2 linked regions of the Lonchura striata genome follow. The protein of the gene in region 2 purifies or fractionates together with the protein of the main gene of each other region. This does not show direct contact. Links are inferred from orthologs where the notes say so. Each region holds a gene or a part of one and is shown on either strand. Other genes may lie near its edges.

Region 1 (10,761 bases), on a different chromosome or scaffold from region 2:
ACCAGGACTCCCTCTCTCCTACACCAAGCTCAGCCCATGCAAATTCAAGAGAAAAGGAAACAGCCTTGTGCATCTCCTTCACCAGCTCCTGGAAGACTCATCAGGCAAGTGGAAAGTTCTTTCAAAATAATGATTTGCAACATTAAATATGGATTTTTTTTTTCCCAGCAGCCCAGCTGTAGAAAAAAAAAAAAAAAAAAAAAGCAAATGCTTTTAATTGAAGCTGACAGACAACAGCACTGAGAATCATGAGAATCACACAACCTTGCTGGGAGAGAGGTGCAGGTACCTGCCTCCAGCCAGGCCAGGAGGCACCCTCTGACACTAACCACATCAGACTCACTAGTACTGGATGTGCTCTTCATGAAGAAATACCTTGTTGGCAGCTTCAAAATGCTGGATTTTGCCCTGCAGCTCTCCTGCATGCACATTGGACACGTGCTCCCCTGCTGCAGCACTACCTGGAGCTGGCTGCTGCTGTTCATCCTGCAAATTCTGAAAGGAGAAAAACAGTAAAATATGAGAGAATGGCTCAACTATTGCACTGGCTTCTTCTCTTCAGCTATCAGCAGTCACAGACCCTGCAGCACGGGTTTAAACATGCCCCGTGTGCTTTTCTAACTGGCTCTGAGACATCATTCTGCTCGTGTCTCCCTTCACCAGGCTGGCACCTGGCAGCTCTCTGCCTTATCTGCCACAAGTGCCCTGGTGCCCCAAGGCTCTGACTGGGCTCCGTGTCTCTCCCCACTGCTTCACCACAAGCCCAGCAGCTTGTTTAGCTCTAACCACTGTCTGTGGGATAATGATGGATCTTTTCCCTACACCCAAGTCATATCCCTGAAACCTGCTCTCCTTCCCATGTGCCTTGCTGGCATTTTAAAAAAGCTTCCAAACCCACACTGAAATGGTTCCCATGTTCTGCTGAGCTTCTGTGTCTTTGTCAAGCTTACAACCTTAAATCCTTCCCACCAGCGCCCCTCCTGCCATGACCTAGCAGTAATCCTGCTCTGAACCCCTCCACTTATGATTTTCTGGGCTCTCCTTCACCACTTCCCGTGTTCCAGCACCCACACTGTGTACAATTCCTTGCAGCTCCTCAAAACAGGAGCAAATTCAGTGCCACAGCTGAGATTTTTTTCATGACACATACCCATTTATTGGGAATGTAAACAGCCTACTTTGTGACACGTGGCCTGCCAGAGCCGGCTGGCTGAGCACAACACTAATCCCTTGTCATCCCTCCTTACAATTTTGCTGCACACACACACACAGGCACCAGCTCCAGGCACTGCAGCACAGCCAGAACAGTCAGTTCCAATTAGCCCTGTCAGGCTAATGAATCCTCATCCTCAGTGGCCACAGAAACGCTGTCTGTGGGGAATTCATGCAGCACGGGGGAGCTCCCTCAGTTGTGAGAGCACTGCCTCTCACAGACAGAAATAACATCTCCCTTTACACTGATGTTTTGTTAGGATTTCAGTGAAAACTTCCAGCCATGGTGATTACAAATTTTCTCTGCCAGGAGGCTATGGATGAGACAGGGAGAGCTGCTGGATTCTGTCACAGCAGCTATTTTGAAATAAGCTATTTTGATTAAAACAGAGGGGGGGGAAACGGAAAATATATTTCCTCAATTTTCACATTAAAAAAAATAAAAAGGAAAAGAAAAAAGGCAGAAAACCCGGAAAGAGCTGAGAGCAGGGAGGGGAATGCAGAGCCAGCTCCAGAGTCCAAAGTTCCAAAGCCCAAGCTGCCTCCCTGCAGCCATGTCGACTTCTCCAACATCAGCATTTTACTGCCAATCTCTCCTCAGCACAGCAGCAGCAGCCCCATCACACACTGACCCAAACAGAACACTTCTTTAAAAACAATTCTCATGACACTCTCAGAGCCTGCCAAGCTCAGACTGCCCAGCACAGTGAGAAAGAGCCCGGCTGTCAGGAGGGCACCGCAGGCAGCTGCGGGAGTGTCTCACAAAGGCTCCGTTTGGTGCCACCTCCCTGGGGCTGTGGTGGGGAAGGGGAGGAATTGTTGGCTCAAGAAAACCCCCAGGAAGGCAGTACCTACAAGGTCACATGTCCTGACACCAGAATGCTCCATAAATTTAAAGAACTGCAAAAGCTTTAAGAGAACTTCGGTCCGGTATGTTCTAGATATTCCTTTCACATTTATGCACAGGAATCACTGGACAGCAGCAGCACCTGACTTACAGGAAGGGTGTTGCTTTTACAAAACGAAAGAAAAATCATTTGTGCAAGAACTATTCAGTCTACTAGCTGCATCTGCCTTGCCACTTTTGCTCTTAAAGCCACCCGAAGGGATTAAGCCCTTCCCCCTTCAGCCAGACCCTGCGCTGAAGAGTTGCTGCTGTCACGGCAAGAAACCAGCAGTAAAATATCCTGCAGGATAAATTCCTGGCAGGGCCGGTCGGATGGGAGAGGATGGAGAAACTCCTCAAAATACAGTTCCTAGAAGAGGATGGTCATGTGTGACACAAAGCCAACCTGCAAACACGCCACGCTGCTCAGAGAAAGCCCATTCTTATCCTGCAAACACACGCCTAGCAGTGAGAACCATCAGCAAACGACACGATGCCCTGGTTTACATCCTCAGTTGCCGGCTGCCAGCACCATGCCTTTGTGCTCCAAGATGAAAACTAGTTTTCCTGCGTTTTTCCCTAGCATCGTTTCTAGAGCAGGCTTTTAGGAAAAAAGCACACAGCTCCGGGAAACGCTTGAGCAGATGGACAGCAAGCCGGCAGCTAAAGAGCAAGAGCAATTCAGCACTGCACAGTTGCCATAGTAATAAACGAGCATTTTCCTAATCCCCCGGGCTACCTACAGCATTAGGCAGCGCTAAGGCTGCTAACCGGAATGCAATTAGGCTGACACGGATATTCCAGAATTGAACCTGACTGAAGCCTTCTATTCATTACTGGAAGTGGTAAAGAAATTAGGAGTTCGGCTTTTTGACTGCATACTAAAGAACATTTCATTAAAGCAAGCAAAGAAGAGGCAACCTGGAGCTAGGACTGCTATCAAGAGAGATAACAGCATCCCAAAAGCAGGAGCTTTCATCCCCTCTCAGCAACACCTGCCACTAATTGATAGATCTTTTCAAAGGATCAGAAAATAAACCAATTATCTTGAATACCAACCCTAAAGTCATCCTCTGGCACAAATCCACCTGCAAGGAAAACACCTTTTCCTCAGGGCACACGCCACAGATTCCTGGGTGGCTCTGCACGTTCGGCAGGTCTGAGGCCCGACCTGCAGAGGCAGGGCTAGAAGCAGGCATTCCCCACACTCCCAAACATTACTCAGGCACAAAGAAAATACATCTGCTGGAAAACACATGCCCAGAAGCTTAAAATACTCCCTTTAGTTGTGTATAAAAACCACACCGACTTTAAGCCTAAAGATGAAGTGAAACTGGTGTTTTCTCAGTAGGAAAATGACAAAGAGCTTAGACACACCTAGCAGGCTGCATTGCCGGGGAGGGTTGATGGAGGGGGGGGAAGGTTCATTTCCCAGAACACCACACCGGGAGGAAACAGGAGACAAGAGAATGACTGAGGAGAGAGGCAGCACACCTAAAAAGGACCGAGTTGCCTATTCTTAGCCCCCGATCAGCCACACGTGGCTGTCTGCATTATCTCAGCACAGAAGAATCCCCAGTGGGCTCAGCCCTGGACCACGAGGACAATGCTCAATGGAAGGGCGGCACTGTGACCTCTACCTGTACCCGCAGCGGCATATAATCCTCACAGAGGTCATCCCACAGCTCCTGCAGCTCAGAAATTTCCAGGGGAAGGCCCAAAGGAGCTCTGGAAAATGATTTTCTGTCTGCATTGAGGAAGGCAGAACTAGCACATGCTAAACCAGCAGAAGCACTGCCATCTGCCAAGTCGCGGCAGAGCTTGGGAGGTGGCAAGCTGGACTTCACAGGAATAGGTAGTCGGCTGCCTCGGGGGCTCTGAAGGGGTTTGTAGTCTAAAGTCTTGATCAAATTGAGGGCCAGCTCCAGCCTGTTCCCACTCAGTGAAGAGCTCGGGGTCATGCGATCATCCGACAAATCGTCACATTTCCCGTTCCCTTTCACCCCCTTATCTGCATCTTCATCCTTCTGCTGCGGAGGGCTGGCCTCCACGGTGGTGTCCAGAGATTCGAGAGAGGATGCAGGTGTGCCTTCCTCCATGCTGTCCCCATCCACAGCCACCCTGGAGCTGGTGGACTCGGCCACATCACACACAGACGACTCCTCGTTGCCCATGCTGGCTGACCAGCGGCTGGATAGCCCACAGGAGATGCTCCTGGCCACCTTTCGGGGCACTTTGCAGATGGCTTCATAGTCTGCATCAGCCACACGCAGGGCAGCGCAGCCCCGGCAGCGCCGCGGGCGGCTCCCTGCCCCCTCAGAGCCGTGGCAGCTGTGCGGCTCCAGGCCATGCTCTTCCTGATCCATCCAATATTCAAATCCAGAGTAAGCGAAGTCCTCCTGGAGGAGGGCAGCGTACCGTGCATCAGGCAGGTTGGAAAGGTCCACCGTTCCCTCCCCAGCCCTGTCCTCTGTGCTGGAGTCGTCGTTGTTCCTGCGGTACATGCTTGCGATGCAGAACTTGAGACGGTCCTTCTCCAGCAGCAGCTTCTGCAGGCGCTCGATGGAGAGGGCCTCGATGCGGGCGATGACGGTGTCGAACCTGTAGATGCGGTCCAGCATGAAGGCACACTTGCTGCAGGCGAACTCGGACCTGCCGTCCCGGCACAGCTCCCTGCCCAGGACGTGGGAGAGCAGCACCTGGAGATTCAGCTTGGCTGCCGTGTGAAAGATCCATCGCCGCTGGTTGCCGCACAGCTCCCGGCCGCAGATCCGGCAGTTATCCTTCATCCTCCCTCCCTCCCGGCACCCAAACCTACTCCTACTCAGGAGACCTTCCCGAGGTCAGCACATCTCCCTCAATCCCTGAGCCTGGCGGCACGTCTCACCGCACCAATCCCCTCTTTTTAGGGTGGTGACACGCCGGGACTCTTGATGCAACAGAAAGATCCCACCCTGCGCCACCTCCTTCACATCTTCACAGACACATCTGGGCTGCCCCCTTGTCCAGGCTGGCCCCCCCGCCCCTCCGATGCTGCTCCCTCTCCTCACAGCTCGAGCCCCCGATGCTGCCCCTCTCTCCTCAACCCCCGAACCCGGGGCTGCCCCTCACTGCGGGCTGCCCCAGCCCGTCCCGCCCCGGCCCGGCCCCACCGCCCGAGCCGAGGATGCTCCTGCCACGGCGGCGCCCGGCTTCTGGCTCAGATTTCAAGATGGCGGCCAAGCCCAGCCTCCCGCGCACGCGCATGGCCCGCAACGCCTGCCGGGATATGTAGTTACCACGCCCGTTTACGCATGCGCAGTGGCGGCTCGCGCCACGCCCGGGCACACGGGCGGCACCGGGGGTCGCGACACAGACAACGACAGTGATCGATCGCGACAGCGCAGGGATCAAGTCTCAGTGCCAGGACACACACACACACACGTGCTTGGCTCCAACGCAAGTGCCTGTCCCAGTGCCACGTCTCTACCCCAGTGCCTGTGCCACGTCCCCGTTCCAATGCCAGTGCCTGTCCCAGTGCCAGGCACCACCATAGTGCCTGTGCCGCATCCCCGTCCCAGTGTGGCACCTGTCCCAGTGCCGGATCTTGTTCCAGTGCTGGATCCTCATCCCAGTGCCTGTCCCAACACCAGGCCCCCATGCCCCCCGTGCCCAGCCCCAGCAGGCAGTGTGGGCGGGCAAGTCCCTGCAGCACAGTGTCACCAGCAACAGCCCATGCCACCGGCTGGGCAAACAGCAGGGTCCCTGCAGGAGCATGGCACAGGCAGCTCACGCACTGACAGCCCCTGGCTGCTGGGGACAGCGCCGTGCCACCAACATCCAGCGTGGCCAGAGCTGTGCAGCTGCCAGGAACATGCCGCTCTGATCTCTCACAGCCCCGAAATCCTGCCTGGCACCATGCCAGGCTGCCAGGAGTATTTTAAGACTTGGGATTTAAATGGCAGACAGGAGCAAGCGGCACCAACACCCTCAGAAAGACTGCGCAGGCTGGTGGCCTGTCCCCTGACAGCTCACACCATGTCCTCTGAGCCTCGCAGCTCCTCCCGGCTCCTGGCAATCACCCAACCCTGCCAGGCTGAACACTGCACAGCCCTGGCCACAGCCCCAGAAGGGGACAGGGGTGACAACAACCAGTCAGGCCCTGGATGGCTGTGCTCCTCCTTGGGGTCCCCCCAGCCTTGCCCACTTACCTGCCCCTCCATGACCGGAGACGCCTCCAGGCACTGCTGCAGGTCACGCTTCTCTGCTGACAGCATTTCCACGAGCTGGTTGCTGGCGGCCAGCTCTTGGGTCAGCTCTTCGATCCTCCTGAAAGTGACAAAGGGCATGCGATGCTCAGGACTGGGATGGCCATGGGATGACACTGGGGACAGAGATCAATCTCTGGGGCAGAGCAGAGCAACCTCAGGACTACTCTCCCTTCCCCACAGCCCAGCTCTCCCACACTGGGGTGATCCCTGCATCCCACCAGATATGCTCAGCCCCTCAATCACGCACATCACGAGCCCCTTGGTGGTCCCCAGGAACTGGCACAGCACACAGGCTGGCAGCATAGAGGAGATATGTCAGGGACACCCACCTCTGCGCCATGGAGCCACAGCCATTGTCACTGCTGTCCTCCTGCTTTGTCCTTGCCGCTTCCTTCAGCTTCCCTGTCAGCTCCCGGCATCTCTCTGCCTCAGCTCGGGCCAGTGCCGTGGCCTGCTCGGCCTCAGTCCGTGCCAGCCTGGCCTCCTGCACGGCAGCAGGGTGAGACCCCAGGCAGCAGCCCCTGGCTCCTCCCCCGTGCCCACCATCCCTTGAGGCTCACCTCCTGCAGGAGCTGGATCTTGTTCTCCAGGAGCTCGTAGACGTGCTCCGACTCCCGCTGTCGCTCCTCATACTGCTGCCGGAGTGCGGCCTGGCTGCGGCTTGTCTGGTTCTCCGCAGCCACCCTGCCGGGCACAGCATGGTGTGCCACGGCCTGCTATGCATGGCATCTCCCATGGCACAGCATGGCACAGCACGGTGTGCCACGGCCTGCTACGGCATGGCATCTCCCATGGCACAGCATGGCACAGCACGGCATAGCTTGGCAGTGTGCAGCATGACATGGTGTGGCATAGCACAGCCTTTGTGAAAGCCTCCATCCCAAACCAGCTGGGCTGGGTGATCTGTACCACTCCAGGTGCCCTTAACCTGGCTCCCCCCACATTCTGCCCTGGGGACACTGCTCCTCTGGCAGCACCCGGCCATGTTTAGGCTCTGACCCACCAGAGCACTATCCACACACTCCCAAAACCAAGGCCTCGCCAGTTGCTGTGCCACTGGCCCCCTGCCATCGGTGCCCCGCGGTGAGACACCCATGCCATGGCCCCTGGGCACAGCACTGCCCTCCCCCACCAAACAGGTGCTGTCCTTTATTCCTGGCTGGCGCCTGGGCTGTAAGAGGAGCCCTGTGGGTGCCCAGCCCCATTGCAAACCCCTCCAGCCCCATTGCAGGCCCCTCTACTGCCTGCTACAGGCAGGGTGCAGGCAGACATCCCTCATGTCCATGCCCACAAACCCACCACAGGTGGGGCATGGGCACCATTTCTGCCCTGGGGTGAGGGGCTTGGCCAGCCGCACTCACCATGTGTTGTCCAGGGCTTGTTGCTTCTCCTGCAGCTCCCGCTTCAGGCTCTCCACCTCCACCTTCAGCTCAATGTTCTATGGAGCAGGAAAGAGGTGGGTAGGATGCCCTCACACTTGCCTGGACACCCCAGCCCCACTGCCCACGGGAATGAAGAAGTTGCGTGGGGGACCCCCATGCCATAGCAGGGCTTTGGGTGCTCCTGTCGGTGAGTGGCACAGGTGGTATTTTAGCCCGTTGGCGCCGGGATGGGGTGTACCCACGCCATCTGTGTGCCCCCAAACTTGCAATGTCACCCATCCCAGGCAGGATGGGTGACAGCACTCCCCAGCTGGGCTGGGGACGCTGTCCCCAACCCTCTCCTGTCAAAGGAAACGAGGGGCAAACTCCCATACAGCAGCTCCTCCAAGCCCAGTGCCCAAAGCCCTCCCTGGCATGCCCCCCATGTACACTCCGCTCACCCTATTCCTTCCCAGAAAAGAGAGGAACCCCCCTCGCCCCGTCCCCTACAGGCACTCACCCGTCGGTAGACATCGTCCCGGCTGTCCTCGCCCTTCTGCTGGACGCGCTCCTCCAGAAAGTAGATGCGGAGCTTGAGGCTGAAATTCTCCTTTTTGAGGTCATTGAGGTGCTGCGAGAGCGTGCGGTACCCGTGAGCCATGGCCGGCGCTCCATGAGGCGGGCATCCCGGCACCCTTCACATGGCGCCGCCGGGACACAGCCTAGGCTCCCTGCCCGCCCGCAGCTCCCGTCGCTGGCCCCGCTGCTGCTCTCCCTTCCCTCTTTTTTTTCCGCCTCCCAGAGCTATTTGAGGAATCGCTGGAGCGGGGACAGCGGGCTGGTGAAACCCGAGCCCCGCAGGCCCCCACGCGCCGCAGCCGTGAGGGCGGTGTGGGGAGCGTGGCGCCGGGCGGGCCCGGCCCCTCTGCCCCCAGCACCTGCCCCGCCGCCCTGCTGCCCTCCGCACCTGCTGCCCTCCGCACCCGCCACCCTGCTGCCCTCCACACCTGCTGCCCTCCGCACCCGCCACCCTGCTGCCCTCCGCACCCGCCACCCTGCTGCCCTCCGCACCCGCCACCCTGCTGCCCTCCGCACCTGCCACCCTGCTGCCCTCCAAACCCACCACCCTGCTGCCCTCCACATTCCACTGCCCTGCTGCCCTCCGCACCCGCCACCCTGCTGCCCTCCGCACCCGCCACCCTGCTGCCCTCCACACCCACTGCCCTGCTCCCCTCCACACCCCACCACCCTGCTGCCCTCCACACTCCACTGCCCTGCTGCCCTCCACACCCACTGTCCTGCTGCCCTCCACACCCACTGCCCTGCTCCCCTCCACACCCACTGCCCTGCTGCCCTCCACACCCACTGTCCTGCTGCCCTCCGCACCCGCCGCCCTGCTGCCCTCCGCACCCGCCGCCCTGCTGCCCTCCACACCTGCTGCCCTCCGCACCCGCTACCCTGCTGCCCTCCACACTCCACTGCCCTGCTGCCCTCCGCACCCCACTGCCCTGCTGCCCTCCACACCCACTGTCCTGCTGCCCTCCACACCCCACCACCCTGCTGCCCTCCACACCCACTGCCCTGCTGCCCTCCACACTCCACTGCCCTGCTGCCCTCCAAACCCACCACCCTGCTGCCCTCCACACCCACTGCCCTGCTGCCCTCCACACTCCACTGCCCTGCTGCCCTCCACACCCACTACCCCTGCTGCCCTCCACACCCGCCACCCTGCTGCCCTCCACACCCACTGTCCTGCTGCCCTCCACACCCACTGCCCTGCTCCCCTCCACACCCACTGCCCTGCTCCCCTCCACACCCACCACCCTGCTGCCCTCCGCACCTGCTCCCCTCCACACCCGCCACCCTGCTGCCCTCCACACCCGCCACCCTACTGCCCTCCACACCCCACTGCCCTGCTGCCCTCCACACCCGCCACCCTGCTGCCCTCCACACCCTGTGGAGCCGCCATGGGCCCTGCAAGCGCCCGTCAGTGCCAGGAGGGCCATGGCGGTGCCATGCGGGGTCCCCGCAGACTCACCTGCTCAAAGTCCCGCAGGGTCTGTGTGTGGGCGAGGGGCCCCATCTCCAGATCCCGCAGGAGACATGTCTGCACCAAGGGGCCAGGCTGGGGCTGGGCACCCGGGGAGCCGCTGGATCCCCTCGGCTCGACTGGCACAGCATCCTCATCACCTTCACCCCATAGCCCTTCTTGGGAAGCTGGCAGGGAGCAAGGGCGAGCAGCAGTCAGACCAGCGAAGTGGCCGCTCCACACCTCGCGTGCCTCCGAGGAGAGGAGAGACAAGGGGACGCTGGGGCCCAGAAAGCCCTTGGCCATCCCAGGGTGATGCAGAGCAGGGGAACGGGGCATGCAGGGTACCAGCTCTCTTGGGGTGCCTTACCCGCCATGCGTCTGGCTCCGGGGAGCAGGGCTGGCACAGTGTCACTGCTGCAGGGGTCCCTGCGGGGAGCAGCACACGGTCATGTCACGCACAGCACCGGGGGTCCAGGCCGGGCCCCCCGTGCCACCCGCGCTGTGCCGGAGGGACCGGGGAGGTGACGGGGCTGCCACTGGTGTCCGCGCACACGTGGGGACACACGTGTGTGTCCTCACAGCCGCTGGGCAGAGGCTCTGAGTGCACAGACACGAGGCCCTGGGGGCTGTGCAGATGGCAGCGTCCCCTCAGCAGCACTTCAGCTCCATTAGCAGCCCTGTCAGGGCCACCTGAGCCCCCAGAGCAGGCCCCCACAGCCCCAGGGAGGATCTGGGGGCACGGCTGGCCCTTGCTGCTCTTGGAGGCACCCTGTGCCTCCATGCTGTCATGGCTCACCAGCTGATAGTCAGGTTTATTTTCAGCTCAGAAGTGTGAGTCATTTCATGATTTAAAAGAAAGAAAGAGAAACATGACAAATAAAAAACCCAACCCTGTATTGTTGGGGTTTTTTCTCCTTTTAAAGAAATAAGAATATTTATTTTCTAATTTCAGCCTGACAGGTTTTTGGTGGGGTCCCAGGGAGGTGGGCACTTGTCCCGGCATCAGTGTGGGCACAGTGC
Region 2 (10,616 bases):
TTGCCTCTTCCTTAGAAGATATCACTTCCAGATTCCACAGTTCTGACTCCCTCTTTCTGGAAATTAGGTCCCAAGAAACTGAAGCAAATTCTCTTAATGACTATTTTTAAGAACACTGACAGTTACTGAGAAACTCAAGGCATGGAATTTTAGCATTGCTCTCCATCCAACAGCTATTTCTACTAATTTTCTCATAGTTTTTGCCATAAAGTAGATGATCTGAAGACTTCAGATCTAAGCTCAGGACTAATAGAAGAAGATTTGCAGGGAGGAAGTTCATTTTTCAAAAATTATTGGATTCCCCAGCTCCCTCGAGGAAAATGAAGAAAACTATCCATTCACTATCAATCTTTTTCATTTAAATAAAACCCAAGCATCCATGGCAGTGACCGTAAGTTTTCAAAAACACATATGTATTATGATTTTTTCACTAGTGCTTTGTATTTCAGAACAGCTAAGAATTACTGCATCTTTGGATGTTTGTGTGTTCCTCTAGTGACACGATAGAGTTTGATTTTCCAAGAGAACATGTTGAGCCATCTCTGATAAGCAAGACTGATGTTATTCTTTTCCATAAAGGTGCTACTAGACTATACAGACTCATATCTTTCATCTCTTAGATCATATAAGCCTCTTCTACTGAGCATGGTAACAAGTGGGTAGATAAATGTTGAGAATTCTCCCAGTCTTTTCACCTCAAGACGTTTCCTTCAGCTTGTGGATAATTCCTACGTCTCTTTTCTGCACATCTCCATTTCTCCATATTCTATTGAATATATGAACACTATATCTGTACTTTTTTTTACTGGTCTCAGGAGTGCTTTATTGAGGGAAGATCTCCCACTCCTGTTTTTGATCTCCCTCTTGAAACAAGCAAAAATCTCATTTGTCTACAGAATTACACCAGAAATTGGAGTAAAGCTGTTTTTCCATTCTGATCACCAGACTCTTCTAGAAGCACTGCCTTCCAAGACAGAGTCCTTCTGTTCTGTAGAAATCTCTTTCTTCTGAAGTCAAAGACTTAATAAAGAGCTTGTAGAGTATGATTTTCTTTAAATGGACAAGTCATCCAGATCATCCTATGCTTCCCCGAGCTCAGTGGTATCACTGTTCAACTGGGTTTTGTGTCATCTCAAAGTTACATCAGCAACATTTATACTTGCTCCCATGTGATTGCAGGAGGTGTTGAACAGAAGCAGCCTACAGTCAATTCTTGGGGAACTTCTCCATCTGATGATTATTTTCTGTCATTAGCTACTTGGAGAGATGTCTCTGTTACCCATTTAACAGGTTGTCTTGACAGTGCATAGTGCCATTTTTATAAAAAGTGTAGGGCATCAAACGAAATAAGATCCTCAAAATAGATGAAGTCTACTACATCTACACTTCCATTTTATTTCATTACTCTTAAAATGGGAAGGTTTACTTTTAATGACAAATTCAGTACTCACTATATCGACTTTAGAAACTCTAGGCACATTTTTCTGAAATTACAGGTGATTATGAGAGCCCAAACTGAGGCACATCAAAAGGAGCACTTTTCTAAGAGACAGTATCCTGTAGTTTCTGAATATCAAGGATGACAAACAACAGATTTCAATGGCAATCAACAGCTGTTCATTTACTGAATAGTAGCACTTGTAAACAGAACTTGTAACAAATCACAAAGCTCATATTCCCTGGAAAATAGTTTGGGTTTAAAAAGGACTTGGTGAGTGAAAAAGCAAGGGACTTGAGGTTAGAATATGTGATACTCTGCATTTCTTTTGAACATATTATCTCAGTAAATGAGGTGGATGGAACACTTGGATTCAGGACCAACATAAACCAACTAGAATTTGAATTGCTGATAATGTGATACTCCTCCTCCTGAGCCATGACTTCTGCTCTCTTCTCACGGAGAGCATGATGATTCATCTCAGCTCTAACAGTCATATAATTTCACTGACTACATAGCACTACAATGCCTAAAAGGTGATACAAGGGAGAGGAAATGAACACTTGTTCCTGGGTTAGCAGGTGCCATTTTGTGTGAGGAAACTCCTCAAACTGTGTATGTGGTTAATCTGATTGTGAATTGGTACTGAAAGTGGCAGGGACTCTTTCATTTACACTGCTTTGCTGCTATTCTGTTTCTTCAGGTGGATTCCTTCCACCCAACTTTCAAACTTGGCCCTTCTGTTTGCTCAGGGAAAACCTTCATTGACGTAAATAGCAATTTTACTTAAGTATGTAAGTGGGTATTGGTTCTTGCCATTCTAGGTTTACAGTAGGCAGTGGAGGAGTTAAGGGGTTTGAATCCACAGAACATAAGCACAGACAGAGTAAAGGGTATGAGATGAAGGAGATTCAATTGAAGGAAGAATCATGGGGAATATGTTAGAACTTGATTCATGCATCACAGGCACTAGTTTCTTATATTGTTTAAAGAACTGAACATTTTTCTGAAAAATGGATTTGGGCTTGGTAATGGATTTTGTAATACAATAATGGTGACATTCGAATGAGAATAGAAAAGTGTGAAACTATGGATCTACACAACTGCAAGTTTTGTTATTGCTGGAAAATTCATTGCTAAGTGATTGCTATTAAAAACAGTTTCAAAATTCTGCGAGCAAGATTTGCCTATTAAGCCAGAAGGACCTGAGTAGGAAAAAAAAAAGTCAATACATGTAATATTTTAAAGGTATTTTGGAAGATCAGAAATTGGTACATGATTATTCCTATGAACTGTGGTTGTTCTAAACTCACAAACCAGCTATCACTCAGTCAAGAGCCAGGAATAAAAAACATTACTGTATAGCTGATGAGATTTTGAAGCAAATATAAAACATGTTGGGATTTGAAGATGCCTTCTGACCAGCAGCTTTTTTGGCATGCAGTATGCAAAGTGTATATTTACTTAAAATTTCAAAAGCCTGGACAAAAGATTTGAGATATCACAAATCAATGATCTTTTAAACACGGGAAATTTAGGGAGTAACATCTCCCAAACACAAACATGAGTCTTTTCCTACTATCCTGCATTAGGCAGAGGGCCTGGCTTTGCCATGTGTTTCTCCAGTACAATATGAACTCTTTCCATGGAGAACCACTGTAGAAATGACTAGATTGCCAAATTGAGAGAGACTGTTACAGATGATGAGATCAGGATCTCTTCTTTCTGGGCTAGCTCTGCAGCAGGTCCAAGGACACAGTAAGAACAATCTCTCTTGCCTGACAGGATGTAACAAAGGGCAGATTTAAAAGCTGGTATTCCACTGGTGTGCTTTCTAAAGTTGCTTTCCTCAGGGGAGAAAGGGCTTTGCCCTGGCTTACACCCTGATGTTAAGTGTACACTTCTGCCCCTCTGAGCACCACCACAGCATCGCAGTTTAGCCGGGGTTCATCGGGAGATGGTTGTTGGAGAGCAGGTCTTGGGAAGCACTGGGGAAAAACATTCTTATCAGGCAAAACATTGAAAGCTGGCAGAAAAAAAAACAGGCTTGTAGTTGGATGCTGAATGGACTTTGTTAGGTCAAGTTTACTAAATTTACATCGACCTGGTAAAGACAAAGCCTGAAAGTCTGGCACTCATCTGTTCTGCACTGAGTTAATTGTCCTCCATGTGATCAGAAAATATCTCATCCTCTGAGCTCTGACAAAGTATTCCCAGCCACTGTCTGAAGCATGCTGTCTGGAATTGTCCTGTGGGAGACAACTGCTATTTCTCACCTGTTAGCTCTAATCACCTAGTTTCTCACTGCTGCAAGCCAGGTGAAGGGACAAGAACGACATGCAAAGCAGGTAAGCAGTATGTTATGAAAAGGGCATTTGTTGGCCAGGAGGAAAGGACATAACAAAGTCTTTATGTTATTTCCTTTGGAATTGTGAGGCGAATATTCTGCCTAATCCTTTTTCAGTACAGTAGGATTTCTGTAGGTTGTAAATTCTCTTTCTTTTCAAGAAGATATTTACAGCTGAATGAGATGGCACTCAAAAATTAGTAGTAGCTAATGAAACTCATTGGAGAGGTGTGAACCAATACTCTCACTATCTAACTGTTCACTCTGCTAGACATAACACATATTTTTGGCAGCTGTCTTCCTTACAAGGATTTAAAAGCAATTTAAATATCAATACAAGGTCTTTGGAACAGAAAGCATCTAAGGAAACTAGATGACACCAACTTGAACTACAAAGTTTCCTGCCATCCTTTGAGATACACAAACCTCAAGGTAAGTTTCACTAGACACAAATGTTTTGTGCTGTTTTGAAACCTTTTTTAGAAAGAAGCATTTTTTAGAGTTCTTCCACTTAGGAATCTCTTATTCAAATTATCTGAGTTTTACATAAAAGCATCAAAGGCTGGCTCTTGAGGATGTCTTCAGAGGAGTGATCTCATTTTAAGTCTGGGAGGATGAGAGTCTCTGACAAACTAGGGGAGTCCTTGATTAAATGGCGAAAGACACTATGCTACTGGTAAATTCCTAGAAAAAAAGACTGCCTTGTCTGGGTACAAGAAAACCTCAGGGATGATAACTCTTCTAACCTTGGAAGACTCCATTAAATGGAATATTATATGCTCACAGGACACCTAGTGCTTGGAAGGCACTAATTACTAACACTTCTCTTCCTGGGAGCTTCCTCAAAGCTTAGGTATGTCTCAGCTTGGTCACAAACAGATCAATCCTATCAGTGGTGTGAGAAGGTTTTTAAGCTCCCAAACTTGTGAACGAGGCAATCTGGTATTTCGAGGTAACCCACGCTCCAGACTAAGCTATGCACCTGTCCATGATGTACAGGTGCCAGCTCTCCTGCTGCACCTGATTCTCAACCATTTTAATGTGCTACATGCTGCAGCAGCAGGGCTTCCAGCAGGCAGGTGTGGTCAGGGCATGCCAGCACTGCAGCAGGGCATGGAGTGGGGGTGTGCTGGCAGCCCCCTGGACGCTGCAGCAGTTCTTGGAGCCTGATGATAGAGCAAGCTTCTGCAGTCCAGAGAGAACTCGTAGTCTGCCTCCAGACGACTTAGCTTGACTTTGAAGAGGTTCCTCAAGCAGGACGGTGCTAAACAACAGTGAATTTAACTTCAAAAAAGTACTTTATGCCTGCAGCATAAAGTGAAGCCACAAGATGTTGCCTGAAGGTATTCCACAGCTCAACTGGTAGAGATGTCTCCTGCCTGTTACAGGGCAGCAATATCACCCACGCAGGCATGGTTTACTCACTTCACTAATTTACCTGGTCTGTAACACTTTGAAGATCCAATCTGTGAACCAAGCTCCATTTGAAAATACATACACAATCAGAACTGGGTTCCATTTGGAAATTAATTGAACTTAAAACTGGCTTTGATATCCCTGCGTGAAAAGTGTCACAGAGATTGCTGTATTTTGCTGTCACCTTATTTTTTCGAGGTCAGGTCTTTCAGTATCTCGCTACTGCAAACTCACACTTGACTGCTTATCTTACCCTAAGCCCCTATGAAGCTCATTGCAAGGCCATTTGAAGAATGCTGAATGTTTAATGAAATCTATTCTCAAACAGCCATGTTGTCACAGCCTTTAGAGGGTTTAGCAGTTAATTTGCTTGATGCATAAAAATAAGACTCGAACAGATCTTTCTGGAACCCCAAAACGTTGGCCAATATTCAGAGGTGATAACAAAGGGGGGGGGGAAATGCAGCTATCAAGCATTCTATGGACTTCACTTTCAAGAAGCAGTTTAGTGAAGCATTGAAAAACATGGCACCCGTAATTGCTACTTACTCTACTTAAAACATTTAAGCTTCCTGGTGATGACAAGCAGCACCCACTTACCACTGTGCTAAGTATCTCTGCAGCATGGCTTGGAAGAGCGTCTATGCCGAGCGTTGGCATTCAGCAGTGTTTAAATTGGACTTCTTCCCCCATTTTTAAACAATTCTTTCTTTTTCCAGCTAAATTTTTCGTGGACCTGAAACAAACAGGATGTTCTTGCTTGCACCACATCACCCCTCCCAAACTAAATGATACAGATGAATGTAAATCGACAGCACTTGTATGCGTATGAATGATGTGGAGAAGAGCTTTAAGGTGGTGCATGGCCGTGAAAAAGCACAGCAGTGCACTGCGGTCCTTCCCTGAGCGGGGACACGTCCGCTCAGCGGGAATCCCCGCTGGTCGCGGGGCGGATGCCCGGACACCCCCGCAGGGAGACGGCGCTCACGGTTTGGGTCCCCGGCAGCCCGTGGGTGGCGGGGGCCGCGGTGCGCGGCGTGGCCGTGGCCCGGCAGGGCAGCCCGTGCGGGGGCAGGGATGCGGTGCCCTGCCCTGCCCTGCGCTGCCCGCCGCCCCGCCGGCTCCCGCGGCGGGCGGGCGGGGCGCGGCGGCCGCAGTCCCGGCGGGAGGTTGTCATGGTTTCCCGGGTCACATGCGCGCGGGTTCCCCGGCGCGGGGGGAGGCGCCGCCGCCGAGGCAGCCGGAGCCGCTGCCCCCCGCGGGCCCGCCCCCCGCCCGCTCCCACCTGCGCCGCCGCCCGCCCCTTCCCGCTGCCCACGGGCGAGCTGCCGGGCGCGCCTCGTCCCCCGGGCCGCCGACCCCCGGCCCTGGGCTCTCCCCCCCTCTCCTCCTCCTTCTCCTCCTTCTCCTCTCCCCTTCCCCTCACCCTCCCCCTTCCTGGCCGGGCTGCGCCCCCCCGGCCGGCCCCGGCATGAGCATCTCCATCCCGGCGGGGCTGACGGAGCTGCTGCAGGGCTTCACGGTAGAGGTGCTGCGGAGCCAGCCCGGGGACCTGCTGGAGTTTGCCCTCCAGTACTTCGGGCGCCTCAAGGAGGAGGCGGCGACGGCCAAGGCGGCGGCGGAGAAGGAGCCGAGCGGCCGCCGAGCGGGCACCGGCCATGACAGGGGCACTCAGCCGCCGCGCCGGGGCCCCCCCGACGCCCGCGGGGTCAACTTCGCCGAGGAGCCCATGCAGACCGACTCCGAGAGCGGCGAGGACGAACAGCCGCCGCCGCCGCCGCCGCCGCAGCAGTTCCCGGGTAAGGCTCCCCCACCTCGCCGGCCCGGGGGTGGGGGCGCGGGGGGCTCCGCGGCCGCCCGGGCTCGGTGCGCGGCCGCGGGGATGGGCTCGGGGCCGGGCCGCCCGCGGGTGCGGGGCCGCGGGGCCGCGGTGCGCGGGCACGGCAGCGGCGGCACCGCGGGCAGAGACCGCCCGCGCCGACAGCGAGCCCGCGGGAGGCTCCCCGTATCCCGCGGCAAACTTCAGCCTCCCGGGCTGTCCCCTGGGGCTCGGCGTGCGGGTATCACCGGCTGCGGCGCTGGAAGCGTATGAGCCTGGCATAGTCCAGCGAAGATCTATCCGTGTGTTTCCTTTTTATAGGAGCAGATCTGCATTCCGTGATTAGTGCAAGGGCATGTCTGCCTTAGAAAATACCTCCCGTGGGCATGTTGTTCACGCACTTGATTAAACGTTTTGCGTAGATGTACTTACATGTGTTTTAGAAAGTAGAGCACAATTTAAAACATAATTTCTTCCTGAAAGCCAGAGTTAAATTTTGTGCATTTAGAAGGGCCTGTGGAACAAGTGTTGCTGTGACAGCAAAGGACATTTGCAGTATCTTTGTGTTTGAAGGTAACACCGATCTACACGCAGCTAATGACACCTTATCTTTGTGTGGCTGACAGGTTTTATTTAGGGACTGTGCCAATCCATCTGCTGGTGTGGGTTATGGGACGGGTGGGAGCTGCCTCTGAAGGGTGCACAGTGCTTTGTCTTTGTGTCATGAGCAGGCTGACTGAAGGGACAGTCAGTAAGGTTAGATGGAGAAGAGGAAAGCGTCCGAGCATCTTTATTGTATTTTTTTGAGGATAGCTTGAGGCGTATCTTATCAGATCATCAAAGCAGTCATCCCTCCGAGTCGTGCTGGAGGTAGACTTACTTAGCAGAGTATGGAAGGCAGCTGTTTGCTAGTTGAATTTCAGTGCAGGTTTTGAAATGATGTCTTATGTGCCTTTCATCAGGAAATGTAGATAAACAAGTAGGTGTTTAAGAAATGGGTGAGTTTTCAAAATGCTTTGTGTTACCCCATAAGACAGTCGCCATTCTTCTCATCTGTTCTTTCCAGCTATACCCACATGTATTTAATGAGAAATTGAATCTGTCAATCAAGTTCTGCAATTTTAAACTGTAATGCTGATTCTGTGAGATTGGTAGAAATTTGAAAATTTGCTGTCTTTGAAAACTGAAATAATCATAATGTGGAAGAAAAAAATTATCGCATTTCACTAATACTAGATGTGGCCTTTCAAACATTAATTATTCTAACACCAAATCTCATTGCTAAATGGAAAACTGGAATGTTGTATGGAGGGAAGTACATAAAAGTAGTTTTATTTATTAATATGTATGTGTTACGTACCTGTAACTTTACAGGATGCTCTAAGAAGCTTTCTAAGCTTTTCAAATGAATACCAGTAATTAAGATTCTTTTGACAGTCTTTTTGTTGTGATTGTGAAGAGAAAAAGCTATTATTGCCAATATTCTCATTAAGGGACATGCTAGAATCTCTTAGTTTGACAAATTGATTTACTTGTTTGACAAAAACCCTTTAAAATGCCACATTTTTAAGCCTAATATATTTTGAGCATTTAATTGTATTATGGTTTGTAAATTCTGTCTGTTCAAATAATTGTTAATTAAAAGAAACAAAAAATGAAAATATTTGTGAAGCCATGTGAAGATTAATAAGAAGTAACTCATGGTAAATGATTATTAATAGTGTGCTTGTGTATATGTACATTGTGCAGGAGTGTGTATTTAAAATTCAAATTTTATGTCTGCCCTGAATATATTCTTCTAAGGTAACATAACAATGAATCCATTCAGCCTTTTGTTAATAACTGGAGGCATAAAGGCTTGTACTCAAATATTTGTTTAATGGGTTTAGATACCAATTTCAAAGCATGTTTCTTCTATGCTTTTGCTTTCTGTTTCTAGAAGTAGCAATTTTTAAGAACTGACGCTTGGGAGAAAGTTTTAAATTTTTTTTGCCTTTATGATTTATTAGACGACTTCCATATAGCAAATTTGCCCTGTTTGCATCCTTAGGAGAGGGCAATAAATTTAAAAAGTGGATAAGCAAATGCAAAATGAAAACCTCTGTTAAGGAGGTCAGGCCTGGTGGTGGTGGTATCTTTCCTTTGCTAAAGCCGTACATTTGAAATCTCAAACTGACAGTGTTCCTTAATTAATTCAATCAGAACATTGTTGAGCTCTCACTGTAAATGCTCCAAACTTTTATTTTCCTACCAAATGTTTTTAAGTACCTACAAGCTCTGCAGTTGAACTCTTTGTCAATATTAGTTTTGTCCTTGAAATGTATTTTGGAAGTGTATCCTGTTTCAGAAATGATGAGCTGAGGCATAAGCTGTGTTAAAAAGAAAAAACCCCTGTACTCAGGATTAAGAGTTATATGTGAACCTTGAATTAAAATCTGTTCAGGTCTTTATTGTGTCCATTACCTCGGCTGCAGAAATCACATAAAGGTAAAAGCAGTTACCTTGTCTGGAGGGAGAACTTTGTTGTATTGGTGTCATAGTTTTGAATTGACACCTGGAGTTAAGGTGACCTCAGAAATGACATTCTTTATGTTCAGAGCATTTAGATTATCCTCTTTGGAACACATGGTTTAATTTGGGAATGTTTTTCAGGTTTTCTAGTTGGTTTGTTTGGTTGGTTTTTTAAAAAAATATTTAATTGTCCTACATGGGTATATTGGCATTAATCAGTTACAACAACTAATTCCTACTCAAATAAATAGCAGACACTAAATTGAACAGGAAATATACATAAAAATGAGCCCTGTTTTAGAAAATATGTCTAACTTTTAGCAAGTCTGAATTGCATATTAAGATTTATTATATTGTGTTAGCAACATTTGAAAATGCTCATTAAATTATTTATTCTTTTTACAGTGACTATACTTTTCTTCTGACTTTACCACTTACATATTGATTTGCAACTTATTTTGATGGGCAATAGCCTATGTAATTTGTAACAGCTGTTTTAAAATGGTTGCCGTAGATAAAAATTTCATCTAGCCTTAATATGAATTAGTTGAAGAGTTTTTTGAGGTAACATTGCTGTTCCTTAAAGTCAAAAATTACAGTGCTGCATATATCATTTGGCACACCGTAGCCTCTGTTTACTTGATTTTTCTTTTGTTTTGTTTTACTTCAGTTTGTTTTGGTATCTTTTTCAGATAGTGGTGTATTTTAACAGGAAAATACTACAGCTGTCCCTCTCCTCCCCCGTGTACTTCTGTTGGTGTGTTGGTTGCTTTGGGTTCCTTCTTTGGAAACTTGAGCTAGAAAATGCAAGTCTGTATCTCAGCTTAACCCACTGATTGTGCCTAAATAATATGAGATCACTGTTTAGGTAAAACATGCATATTCTACCTTACAATACTAATTTTAAAGGCATGTCTTTATTTTAGTTCATTTATTCAGTCTGAAGTGCTTACAGATGTACTATTCATAGAAATTTTGAAATAATAGGTAAATTGTAGAAACCAGAAAAAACTTTGCACGCAACTACATTTGTGCCATGTGTACGTAATGGGCAGATCAGAGCAGTGGAAGGGCTCAGGAAGGAC

What was found.
Region 1: the proteins of PRKAR2B (region 2) and PDE4DIP purify together in Homo sapiens (affinity purification with mass spectrometry; 4 studies listed by BioGRID and IntAct, counting the BioPlex papers as one, with this or other methods). This does not show direct contact. The link is inferred for Lonchura striata from reciprocal best matches to the Homo sapiens genes PRKAR2B and PDE4DIP.

The regions. Positions count from the first base shown.
Region 1 is NC_134611.1:107,729-118,489, reverse strand, and holds the start of PDE4DIP (myomegalin), read right to left. Parts: upstream 5,106-10,761; 5' UTR 4,888-5,105; coding exon 3,739-4,887; intron 496-3,738; coding exon 376-495; intron 1-375. UniProt on the Homo sapiens protein: Functions as an anchor sequestering components of the cAMP-dependent pathway to Golgi and/or centrosomes.
Region 2 is NC_134607.1:59,474,134-59,484,749, reverse strand, and holds the start of PRKAR2B (cAMP-dependent protein kinase type II-beta regulatory subunit), read left to right. Parts: upstream 1-6,621; 5' UTR 6,622-6,672; coding exon 6,673-7,000; intron 7,001-10,616. UniProt on the Homo sapiens protein: Regulatory subunit of the cAMP-dependent protein kinases involved in cAMP signaling in cells. Type II regulatory chains mediate membrane association by binding to anchoring proteins, including the MAP2 kinase.